Drosophila melanogaster: one gene and its partners. The protein of the gene in region 3 interacts with the protein of the main gene of each other region in a pairwise test. Each region holds a gene or a part of one and is shown on either strand. Other genes may lie near its edges.

Evidence for each region. The genes of interacting proteins can lie anywhere in the genome.
Region 1: the proteins of CG10209 (region 3) and Poxn interact in a two-hybrid assay, tested with the Drosophila melanogaster proteins (2 studies listed by BioGRID).
Region 2: the proteins of CG10209 (region 3) and CG9040 interact in a two-hybrid assay, tested with the Drosophila melanogaster proteins (2 studies listed by BioGRID).

What each region holds. Positions count from the first base shown.
Region 1 is NT_033778.4:15,832,025-15,836,809, reverse strand, and holds the start of Poxn (Pox neuro), read left to right. Parts: upstream 1-1,754; 5' UTR 1,755-2,127; intron 2,128-4,785. UniProt on the Drosophila melanogaster protein: Transcriptional regulator that specifies poly-innervated organs (chemosensory bristle). Also controls the number of neurons.
Region 2 is NT_037436.4:13,986,295-13,989,157, forward strand, and holds CG9040 (uncharacterized protein), read left to right. Parts: upstream 1-1,583; 5' UTR 1,584-1,647; coding exon 1,648-2,133; 3' UTR 2,134-2,332; downstream 2,333-2,863. Other genes in the region: CG17362 (uncharacterized protein), read left to right, coding at 361-822.
Region 3 is NT_033778.4:14,845,528-14,850,257, reverse strand, and holds CG10209 (uncharacterized protein), read left to right. Parts: upstream 1-1,891; 5' UTR 1,892-2,055; coding exon 2,056-2,058; intron 2,059-2,286; coding exon 2,287-2,442; intron 2,443-2,493; coding exon 2,494-3,840; coding exon of another isoform or gene 3,841-3,927; 3' UTR 3,928-4,194; downstream 4,195-4,730. Other genes in the region: SMC2 (structural maintenance of chromosomes 2), read left to right, coding at 1-95, 149-1,586.

The DNA of each region.
Region 1 (4,785 bases), 990 kb from region 3:
GGCTGGTAAATGGCAAATGGTTACCGGCAACCCGGCCTTTGTGACAGTTTTATCTCTGGCCAGCAGAAGCTATTGCCAAGCTCTTGCCATCCTCCTGCCATGGGAAAGCCATCGCGCTGAGTGGGCCTAAGAATTTTGCATGTTTTCGCACAGGTTTTTGTGGTTTTTGGTAGCAAGTGGATTTGCATACGCCACGCGGCTCCAAAAAACGGGTTAGGCTTTAGCCAGTCTTGGTGGATCAGGAGTTCCCCCTGCTAGGGACCATTGATTTCCTAGTCATGGCAACTAATTTCCATTCATCATGTTCGGTACCTCGAATGGATCAATAATCCGGACTCCTCCCTTGGAACAATCACAAACAATGTGACAGCTTTATCTTTCAGCACCAGTCGCCGTCGCAGTGAAAATCCATTTCCAATTGTGAATGCCGAGCGACAATTGTCGAATTCAATTAACGCCTGCGGCACCACCGAGCGTTACTTAACGCCGACACCCACCCAACGACCTCCGCCTCCTGCCGCTCCTCCTACTCCTCCTCCTCCTCCTCTCCCCCGGGAGTTTCCAGCGGGTGGGCAAGGACGAGCCGTAGCTGTGGCCGTAGCTGTGGCTGTTTCGCCAGGGTAACGGCTATGCAGTGTCACAATGCGGATGTGGATGTGGATGGGGTCCTTGGAGTGGGCGAGATACATACACTATCAGTTTCTATGAACCACACGATGCAGGACGTGGGCGGGGGGCGGGAGTGAGAGCGTTTGCGTGCTGCGTTGCCTCCGCCGATTGGCCGGAACGCGGCTGCAACGGCAACGCATCGGCTGCGGAAACGGCCACGGATAAGGCTACGCTCTGCCGCAACGCTCTCTGGCCGGAACTCGCCGACCATCCACACCAAATTCTACTACCCCCAGAGCGTTCACAGAGCGAAGGCGGGCTGCACGGACGTCATGCAATCGCACAGTGGAGCAAAAGTTGCAAGCTGGATTGTACTGAACTTGCTCGGTTTTTGCTCATAACATTAAGTTTGTGTACCAAGTTAGAAAAACAATTTTGACACTAAACTATTAGTTTCAAATCAGGTGGCTCATTCTTAACATTTCAAAGTAGCTTTAATGTAAAAGGTCATGGTATCATGCTTCTATAAGGTTTCCTTTCTTCCCAAATATATTACAATGTAATCCTAAAAAGTTTTGAACTCTTAAATCACAAAGATAGTTTAGTTAGCTGCACTTGAGTATCATCACAATTTTTACTACTAACCAACTAATCAACTAACCAGATTAGCAATGTTTATCTACAAAGGTAACTGCGTATTAGTCACTCTCTGAATATAGTGGCTTTACGTAATTACCCCTAATTTCAATGCGGTTTTCTATGCTGTTGAAATCGACCTAGCCCACTAGCCTCTAGCTTCACACTTGACCCACTGTGCCCGTGTCGATTTCGCTCCCGGAGGACGTGTCACCTGGCCCCCACCCCTGCTGCCGAATCTGGCCAATGGCAGCTCACCGTCGGCGCAGCGTGCGACGCATGCGCACCGGGCCAGCTCTCTGATTGGCTCTCATTGGCTGGCGGTGGGCCAAATGGGGCTGAAACCGACGCGGACGTCGCAGCCGTGAAAAACCGGTTACACCAGAAAAACGGTTCGTCCGTGAGTCCGTGAACGCTTGTGTCAGTGTGTGCGGGCCGCGTATTACGAGTGTGTTAGTGAGCGGCGGCTTTTCGGTGGCGTTTTGGGCCGCTCTGCTTGGCGGCGCTTCAGTAGAAATTGTCGGCTGATGGACCGCGGGCGAGGCACGAAGCCAACTCTCAATTTCCACTGCTACCGCCACTGCCACTGCCACAAAAATTGATCGAATCGATGCGCCGGTCCCGCGATTCGCGTGCAGTTAGTCGAATTTTTGACGGTCGAGTGACAAGGTGCGTCGCGTTCCGAACTCCCAAATAAGAATCATACAGAAGCCATTAGCCGTCGCGCCTCCGAACTGAGTAATCGGCCATTATCCGCGGAATAAGCCACACGGTGCATGCAAAACTCGAGCGGAAAGTGTTGTGCTCAAGTGATCAAAGGATTCGAACCAAGTTGCGGCAAAGTTATTGGATAGCCGGCGAATTCAGTGCTCTAAGTTTAAGGTGAGCACATCTTTTGAATTATATATTTCAAAAGTATAACCATCTAGGAAAGATACTATTCATGGAAGATTATCCGTTTTTGGTCAAGCTTTTATGCTTGCACAACGTTTTTAAATTGAGCTTCACCAAGTTATGTTGAATTGGTAAAGTTTAAGTGTTCATTTGCTATCTAGATTATAAAAAATAGAACATAAAAAGATAAAAAACTAGCAGATTCAAGTATCTGTTATAATATTCCATAGATCGTTTATAACGAATTGTCATTATTATTGGCATAAATTAGTTAGAATACATTTGCTTGGATCTGAAAATAAATTTGAGCTTTTATTTGAATCTGCTTCATTAAATGAAATTAGATGACAACTTTATTAGTTCACTGACAAGTTTTTAGATTGTATATTTTGTTGATTTGGATTTTACGCCAGATGTGCTATCTCGTTTTCTACTCGAGACCAGATAAGCTTAATTGAACTTGGTGAAAAGTGCACACATTGCATTTTGAGTGCAGACACATTCTAATCCGTAATATTATGCCAACACTTGACAAAAGCTAACGACGATGACTTATCGGCGTCTTAATTAAGATCTGGTCGCATCCATCGACCTGCCCATAATGACCACCATAAACGATCGTAATCAATTTGTTTGCGCATAATTTGCTTTCTCAACAACTAAATCATTAAAAATCGAGTCGCTCCCGATCAGGTTGCGGCGTTTTTGAAAGACTTTAATAACGATATTTGCTTATCGAGTTCGACACATCGGTCTCAAGTCCGACCTCGTCCCCCCAGACCCAACGCCCTGCCATCGATCGGCTTATTTCTTAATGAACGACGATCTGATCTAACGGATCGAGTCTGAACGGAACCAAACGGGGCGATCTTCATTCAACCGGCGGCGTTAGTTTCGGCCAAGATTCGATTCCAATAATATTCGAATAATATTCATGTTGTGAATGAAGTGGAAGATGCCACCGGATGGCCTGAATCGAATTTGCAATGCAAAACTACGGCCAATTGAACTTCCGCCGCACCGAGATAACTCATTTAAAGCGGACCAATCGATCGTTGGCCAGACTGCCAACGATCGATGACTGCCTTTTTGGCCAGACTTTAGTTTTCCCACGACCACGGCGAGCGACAAAAGTCAAAAATCGTATGCTAATTAATTCTTTGTCATGCCGTCGTTTCTGGCTGCCATTATGGCCCATTGACTTGTGTGCTTTCTAAGCCAAAGCCCAAGCCACCGGCTTTCGGGGCTTTTGGCCATCGGCAACGAGGCAACGAGCCGTCGGACAACTTACTTAAGCGTGGTCCAGAAAGAGCAAGCTAATCATATTCAAATGGTGAAGCGTACGTTTTATTATAATTTTTTTATTTTAATTAGCGGCTGTTAATGCCCCGCTTGGCTCTGGCTTCGATCGATCCATTGATCTGCGGGGGGGGCAGCAAATGATAAAAAATAAAATCAAGGGAGAGGGTTCCGAAACAGAAGCTCGGCCAACCTGTCGGTTCCACTTTCGGTAATCGCACGAATTTAAATTATTGTATGTTTAACTAATTTCTATCGGTTTTTATGTCTGTTCCGCTTGACATGTGCACGGAGCTAATTGAGACTTACGAGTTGAGGATTGTGGAGAAATCGGTAGCACTTGGGGAAGATACTAATTATACTCGTATATTATCCCCCCTGAAAACCAGAAAGCGGTTCTCGAGAACCCAGATTAGCAACATCCCTATATATATAACTCGCAATTTGGCCTCAAGATCGCATTCAACATTTAAAATTGTAGCCGTTGTGGATCTGGAAAAAACCTTTGCTACGCGTTCACATTTTATAAGGTCTCTTAAAATTAGAGGGGATTTTTTGGTCTCACCAGATACTTTGGATCACTGCTTGTTAGTTAGATTAGATATATTTCCAAAAGTAATACCTCAAATTTAGGTTTTTGTGTTCTGCAAGATACATTTTTCAGCATTCTAAGGATGGATCGTACCCAATAATTGATAATTAACACGTGTAGAAGTGGCAAAGCAAGTGGAATAGTCGCATATTTCTAGGGGTTGCTACTATGTCCGGAACTATTTAGTTTTGACTGCTCACTGGCCTCGATTGGGCCACGAAAAATTCCAGAGAAATGGGCGAGCAGCACGCCAGAGGGGAAATTAACCCTTTCATTGCGGCCAAATTGGATTTGGCCGGAATGTCTATTTCACTTTCTACAAAACCGAGTGGATTTGCAATCCTTATCGCACTGTCGGCCAAATCGTGGCCCCGGGCCAACTGCTAACTTTATGGCCTTAACGGCCAGCACGAGTTTCCCGTTCGCGGTGAGTGGTAACCGAAAAACTGAGACGGAGACTGAGAAGGTCCAAAAAAAACCTAATGAACAACTTAATTTCGAGTTCTTTTTTTCTCGTTCTGTTTGGTGTTTTTTCCGTTTTTTTTTTTTATTTCAAAGGGGGAGTGTGTGGTGCGTGCGGTGGTTCGGTGGCTTAACACGCGCATTTCGGTGGTTTTACGAGCTGAAAAGCGGCAAGGGAGCTGGACGAAGGACTCCCGGGCTCGGCAATTAAATCAAATGTGAATTCCATAATAACATGGCCATGACAAAGTGTGGACCGTCGGCCGGCAGTGGCAGTTACAGTTTTTGATTTA
Region 2 (2,863 bases), on a different chromosome or scaffold from region 3:
CTGAAAGTGAACGCAATTTTAACTGCGTGTAGATAAAGTGGATCTATAAACGTTCGTTTTATATTGTAGACGACAAACAATATATTATTTTATTCCACAACATAAAACGTTATATATCTACTTGATTTATAAAAGTATTTACAGGTAACCACCAGGGGCTAATATTATTATCTAAAATTTCTAAAACAAATTGATAATCAAAAAAACATCTACACAGCTGGCCCAAAGTAAACGAATGTGTGTTTGTTTAATCATATTTACTTTTGATTCATGAAAAACGAGATTCGACTGATATGTTGGTATATAAACCAGAGGATTGAGCTTTCTTCGTTTAGATCACAAAATCTCCCCAAAACGAAAATGAAACTTCTTCTGGTTCTGGCATTGGCAGTCTTCGTAGCCCACGTGGCTGTGGCCCAGACAACTGATTCGTCTGACGATGGAGATTACTCTTACGATTACGCTGATGACAACGATACTGCCGGTAGCTCCGAAGACAACACTGCTGATTCTGGAGACACTAGTGATAGCTCCACTGACGTCGACAGTGGAAACGACTCTGGGGACGTCGATTCCTATGACGACTACGAGGGCTCTAGCGATGTTACGGAAGCACCAACTGCTGCTCCAGTTGTCAAAAAGAACAAAAGAGCTGGTGCCAGGAAAAACAACAGGAACAACAAGAATAAGGCAGCAGCTAAACGTCGCAATGCCGCCGCTGCCAAGAAAAGTAATAACAAGAAGGCGGCTAAGAAGCGAACACCTGTTGCCGCCAAGAAGCGGGCAAATGCTGGACCCAACAAACGTAGGCGCTCTGGATAAATCCAGTTTATTATATTCGTAGCTACAAATTATAAAAATAAAAAATTATACCAAAAAAATTTGTTCCCAAAATTACCAAGATTTTTTTCTATGACGTTTATAAGTTAGGTTTTGAATTAATATATAATAATGATAATGATATTTACCAAGAATGTGGTTGTTGGGTATGGGTGTTTATTATTATGAATTTTGTACAAAACTTGAATATCACAGAAATTTTGAAATATATTTAACTATTTCACCCAATGTTCAAAAGACAAGAAAACATTCTACATAAGTTTTTATCGGCACGTGTTTTTTCCCTCATTTGTAAATAAATATATTTTTGATAAACAAAAACATACACCGCATATACTTGAAAAATTATATAATTTTAAAGACGTTTAATGTCATATCTATTTTTTCTATAAAACTACTAGCAGGTCGCCTAACGCGTAAACCATAGACAAATTGTTCAAAAATCCAGATAAGACATTTGTGACCTTGGCTCTTTTAATATAAAAGAGTTTATATTACTTTTTCGTGCTCTAACACAAAATATAATTTCATAATTTCAACATATAGCAATCGAAAAATGTTAAACAAATACAAGCAGCACACACAGGTGCTCTAAGCCACCGAAAATTAAGACGATGAATTAAAAAACCAATATTTGCATTCTACAGATGTACATAGAAAAATAATGTAAAAAAGCTTTATATATTTATAAATTTCTTCAGAGGAGAAAAAACTATAAATACCCAGTGTTGAAGACTTTTAAACTCAGACGTTTATACCTAAGGTTACCTATCTGTTCGTTGACTCTATAGATACAAAAAAAAAAAGATGAGGCTGCTGTTGGTTTTAAGCCTGGCCATATTGGTTGCCTTCGTAACGGGTGCTGATGACACTGACGATGACTATTACGATTATTACGACTATGGTGATGACTACTATGACGACTCTGATGTAGAGTCCAGTTCGGAAAGTGGTGTTGGTGCATCCAGTAGCTCAGAAGATGATGCTAGTACCTCCGAGGACAGTTCCTCCGGCGAAGCTTCCGATACAGGTAGTTCTTCAGAAACTTCTGGAGATGGTTCCTCCGCCGAAACGACCTCCAGTTCAACTCCAACCAAGGCAGAAAAAGCCAAGAAAACTGCTGCACGCAGAGCTAGACGGCGCAGGCGCACCACCACCGCTGCTCCCAAACGCAAAGTAGCGGCAGCCGCGTCTGCCAAGAAGCAAACACCTGTTGCCCAAAAGAAGAAGACACCTGTGGCAGCCAAGAAGAAGGCGAATACTGCCGCCAACAAACGCAAACGCACAGGCTAAGCAGTTCGAAAAAAGGATAAATTCCCCATAGTCACTGAAAGTTTTTACATCAAACTTTTAAGAGGACCAAGAGACATCTTGTAGAATCTACATTAGTCTGGGAATATTTCATATGTTGTTTTCTGTACAAAAAATCCATATAAAAATACAAAGATAAGGAGACGTTTTGTAATTTACCAAAAATATACATTATTAATCCAAAATATACAACAATTTTGTATTTGAGGGCTTAAATGATCTTTCTTCGGAGAGAAACTAATCATTACAAATCGTTTCTGAATACTTAAAATCGAAAGCCAACTAAAAATCAAGTATTCCTTAAAAGGAAAAAAATTTTTTGAACGAAACATTCATTTAATAAACTGTTGTGGTTTATATACAAGTCTCTGCAGCCAGATTAGTATAAATCGTTCTAGTGGCGTAGTATTACCAAAGTCAGCTGCATTTTGCTGCATATTTTTAGGCGCCCACATTTACATTTACCAGCGCTTTGGCGCATTGTGTTTCTATTTAGACGTAAGCCAATAGCATCTATAAATAGTAATTATGCCCTCATACAAGTAGACATAAATGCACAGGGACACTTAATTACTGATGCGCACAGGCGACAATTGTTTAATGGCGAAAGGATAACGAAAAGGGAGGAGCCTGAGTAGCGCCATCGGCCACCACAATGGGACCATTGTTTTCGATTTCAATGCCGACATTCTGGCAGTGGCACTGCCAACAG
Region 3 (4,730 bases):
GCTAACGTTCTAGAAGAATTGCACGCAATTAAGCAAATAGAAAAGGAGTACAGGGAGATCGACTCTGAGATAGCCCAAGTGGAAAAGCAAATTGCGTAGGTGAACCAGTAACTTCTCATTGCCAATACTTACGCCTATCTGTTTTTAGATCCATTGAAAACCAGGCCCTCGCGTTCAACAAAATGAAGGAAAATCTTGACTTGCGACAGCACGAGCTAACCATGTGCGAGAACAGGTTGGCCCAAACAACCTTTCAACAGAATCAGGCTGAAATTGAAGAAATGAGGGAAAGGGTCAAGACCCTAGAGCAGCAAATAATTGACTCCCGTGAAAAGCAGAAGACCTCGCAAGCCAAAATAGTGGATATCGAGGCGAAGTTGGCAGATGCAAAGGGTTATCGCGAGCGAGAGCTGAATGCAGCCACCAACGAGATCAAGGTGACCAAGCAAAGGGCGGAGAAATCTCGTGCGAACTGGAAAAAGCGAGAGCAGGAGTTCGAAACTCTTCAATTGGAAATTACTGAGCTGCAGAAAAGTATCGAAACTGCAAAGAAGCAGCACCAGGAAATGATTGATAACCTCGAAAAGTTTAAGGCCGAGCTAGACGCTCTGAAAGTAAATAGCTCCAGTGCCGCGTCCGAGGTGACGGAGCTCGAACAGGCGATTAAGGAGCAGAAAGATAAACTGAGAGATCAGAACAAGGAGATGCGAAATCAGTTGGTCAAGAAGGAGAAAATGTTGAAGGAAAATCAGGAGATTGAGCTGGAGGTGAAGAAAAAAGAGAACGAACAAAAAAAGATCAGTTCGGATGCCAAAGAGGCAAAGAAACGGATGGAAGCCCTTGAGGCAAAGTATCCGTGGATTCCGGAGGAGAAGAACTGCTTTGGCATGAAGAATACTCGGTACGATTACAGCAAGGAGGACCCCCACGAAGCAGGCAACAAGCTGGCAAAGATGCAGGAGAAAAAGGACAAAATGGAACGCACTCTCAACATGAACGCTATCATGGTGCTGGATCGCGAGGAAGAGAACTTCAAGGAGACCGAGCGCCGGCGAAACATTGTGGCGATGGACAAGGAGAAGATTAAGAAAATCATAGTGAAGATGGACGAAGAAGAGCAGGATCAGCTGAACAAAGCCGCTACCGAGGTGAACACGAACTTCAGTGGGATCTTTAGCTCCCTTTTACCGGGTGCTGAAGCGAAACTCAATCCCGTCCATACCAATGGCTGTCTGACCGGTTTGGAGATTAAAGTCGGCTTCAATGGCATATGGAAGGAGAGTCTCGGTGAACTTTCTGGTGGCCAGAAGTCCTTGGTGGCTCTGTCCCTTGTCCTGGCCATGCTTAAGTTCTCTCCGGCTCCCTTGTACATTTTGGATGAGGTGGACGCTGCCCTGGACATGTCACACACCCAAAACATAGGTAGTATGTTGAAGCAGCACTTCACCAACTCGCAGTTCTTGATTGTGTCTCTCAAGGATGGTCTCTTCAACCACGCCAACGTCCTGTTCCGCACTCTCTTCGAGGAGGGTGTGTCCACCATCACCCGGCAGGTCAGCAGACAGGCGACAACCAACAAACGCTGAAATGGAACTCGTTTACTTTCTTATCACTTAATAAAACTTTAAAAATACCATATAAAACTGTTCTTATCATTTTAATTGTGAATTTTTTCAAGTTTTTTTAATTCGCAAAAAAGGTTGTGTATTACAGCAATATACTTATTTCAAGAGCCATCGGTCAATATACTTATTGCTACATTACTTAAATCAACGAAATAAGTAATTTAACTACAAATTTAATTTTGTAACGGTCGTTTGCGCATCAGCTGATTTCCAACCGGGCGGGCGAAACGTCAAACTGGTGAGACCGTCAAACGCACACACACACATACGCAGCGGACAGAAGAAGAAGAACGAAAGGCAGCAACAGCAATGTTTGAGGGAGTGAAAAATTAAACAAAAGTCCCCGGAATTCAGCAGCAAAAACTCGACGGCGGTTGAAAAACAAAACATCAAGATTTCGAGCCAACGCAGACTGCTTCAAAAGCTCACCATGGTAATTTGCAAGGTTCCAAAAATTACGAATCGTCCGATTCTTTTACCACACACACACACGACTTGTGCGTGTGTGTGTGCGGGGAGCAGCAAAATATTGTAGACACCGCTGGCATTTGGATAAACAATAGCAACAATTGGAGTGGTGTTCGAGGCGGGAAAAGCACCGATTTGTGGAATTTCATTCATTGGAATGTGGGATTGCTAATGAACCGTTTTACTCTTCCAGGATCGAGTGACCAAGCCGCAGAAGAAGATGCTCATCACACTGCTGCGGGAAACCAAGTACATGGAGGGCAAAAAGGAGAAGGAGTGGTATTGGGAGAAGATCCAAGCGGCCCTTAATACTATTGGTCCCAAGAAGACGATTATTCAGTGGAAAAAGGTGCGTTTACTTGCCTATTAAATCCAAAAATAAACTTTAATCTTCTTCCAGTGCTGGCGCGATATGCGACTGACCACAAGGAAAAAGCTGGCGGAACTGAAGCGCTGTCAACTCTCTGGAGGATCTCCACCACCGGGGATCGAACTAAACCAGGAGGACAACGATATCATCGACATTGTGGGCACCGAGTACTTCTACGAGGAGATGAATGGTGAGCTCAAGGCGGAGAACTTCTTGACCGGCTTGGACTACGCCCCGGAGCATCTGTGCGATGCTATTCTCACGGCAGCAGTGGGCCATCACCAGCACAATATGCAGCACCAGAAGGATCCGCAATCGCATGCAGGGCAACAGCAGCAGCAGGATCATCACACCAACGATGGCGAAACCAATGATGCTCCTGGATCAAGCAATGGTGGCTCATATCAGGGACACCCAGTATCCCAGTTGCAGGCGCACAATGGCAGCGGTGGAGGAGGCGAGCATAGCGGCGGTGGTCAATCCCACTCCGGAATGCTCCAGCACCCTGCTTTTCACGGTGGCTTGCATCCACACCTGTTGAGGCGCCAGCATGGAAGTGGATCACTATCCAGAGAGTCGCCATTTGAGGAGAAGCTTCTGCAGTTCATGCAGGATGCATTTCCAAAAAAGAGCAAGAAGCGCAAGAACCGGGATCCCGACAAGCTGTTCCTCTTATCCCTGTACGAAGAGATCAAGAGAGTTCCGGAGGAGATACGCCTTGATGTAAAGTCCGAACTAATGCAGATACTGAAGAAGTATCAGAAGAAGTCGCCTGTCAAAGCGGAGAAGCCCGCGCCCTCCTCTACGTCAACCTCCTCAAAACTCAGCTCTAGCAGCAGTGGCAGTAGCACGGTGACTACTCACTTGTCCCACAGCATGTACCAGTTGCAAAAGAAATACGAAAAGGGCGAGCGTGAACCATCGCCTCAATCACAGGTAGAGCGAGTAGCATCTGCAGGCGCAGTTGCTGTGCCCATTCATACCTCCCAGCAGCTGCCTCTTTTCCAACTTCAGAAGAAGTACGAGGAGAACAGCGTGGAGAAGGTTCATCAGCAGCAACAGCAACAGCAAAGCGAGCAACGCAAGCATGTGGAGGCCGCTCAGGCCCTTCATGCTGCCCACCAGCAACCGCCTCCACCGCCACCCAATGAGCACCTGCACCACCCCCAGATGGCCCACAACATCATGTTTCCGCTGGGACAGCTTCGCAACGAGCAGCCGACCGCACAGCAACACCAGCATGGCCACAATCCCCACCAGCAACAGCAACAGCATCCCCACCAGCAGCAGCAACAGGGACAGCAACACCATCCGCCAACGATCTTCGGATCGACCGCCAGCGAACGGCCTCCAATGTCCTACGAAAATGTCGGATGAGTCCTGAGCCGTCTGTGGGAAGCCACTTGTGGAGCACCACGCCCTGCGACGGTGTCCCCCACGACGGCAGACGCGCACAGCTGTTAGCCCTCGATTTAGACGGCAATTCGTAGGTCTCATTCTTATGCTAGCCTATACCTAAGTACACATTGCTCACTACACTACTACAGTCAAAAATGGTGCAGTCAATGAGGAAGATACTCCTGATGTATGCCATTTTGTAGTAAGTGGATGCCGTGATCCTCATGTAAATGTTCCCGTGGCAATAACAGCGTAGCTCAACTGTGACTCAAGTTCTCAATAGATCGCGACGCATACATTTTTTCGGTGTAAATACAAATATAATTGAATCTTAAAAACTGTGGATGTTTTTTAGTTCAAGTAAAATGATTGATCCCCAACTTCTGGCAAGAGCTCCCTATTCCCAGGTTTTTGTTTTTCTGGCCAAATCGGAGAAGTCATTGGCTTAGCTCTGAGGTGGAATCCACAATCTTGTTTGTTTGGACTTTGAAAAGCTGTAAATCCGGCAAGCGGTCCGTCGTTAAGCTGTCTTCAGGAATATCTAGTCTTCATCTCTCGTAACGCGATAACGAAACCCACAGGGAGCACGCCATATCATAAAGATAGTCAAACAGCTGACTGATCCGGTCTGCCTAAGTGCGAATTTCAACTGAGCGCTGCCGATCGCCGAACTCGTCGTTGTCTGTCGCATGTTGGGCAGGTTGATGAGCGATCACGAGCCGAGCTGCAGCATAGTCCGCCAGATCTGCGGCGCTTATCAGTGGCGTCCGGCTGGGATAAAGAGATACAGATACAGATACAGGCGGATCGACTGGAGGCAGACTGGGTCTGGCATTCTTTTCCGGCAGCTGCCAGCAGCAGTTGATCGT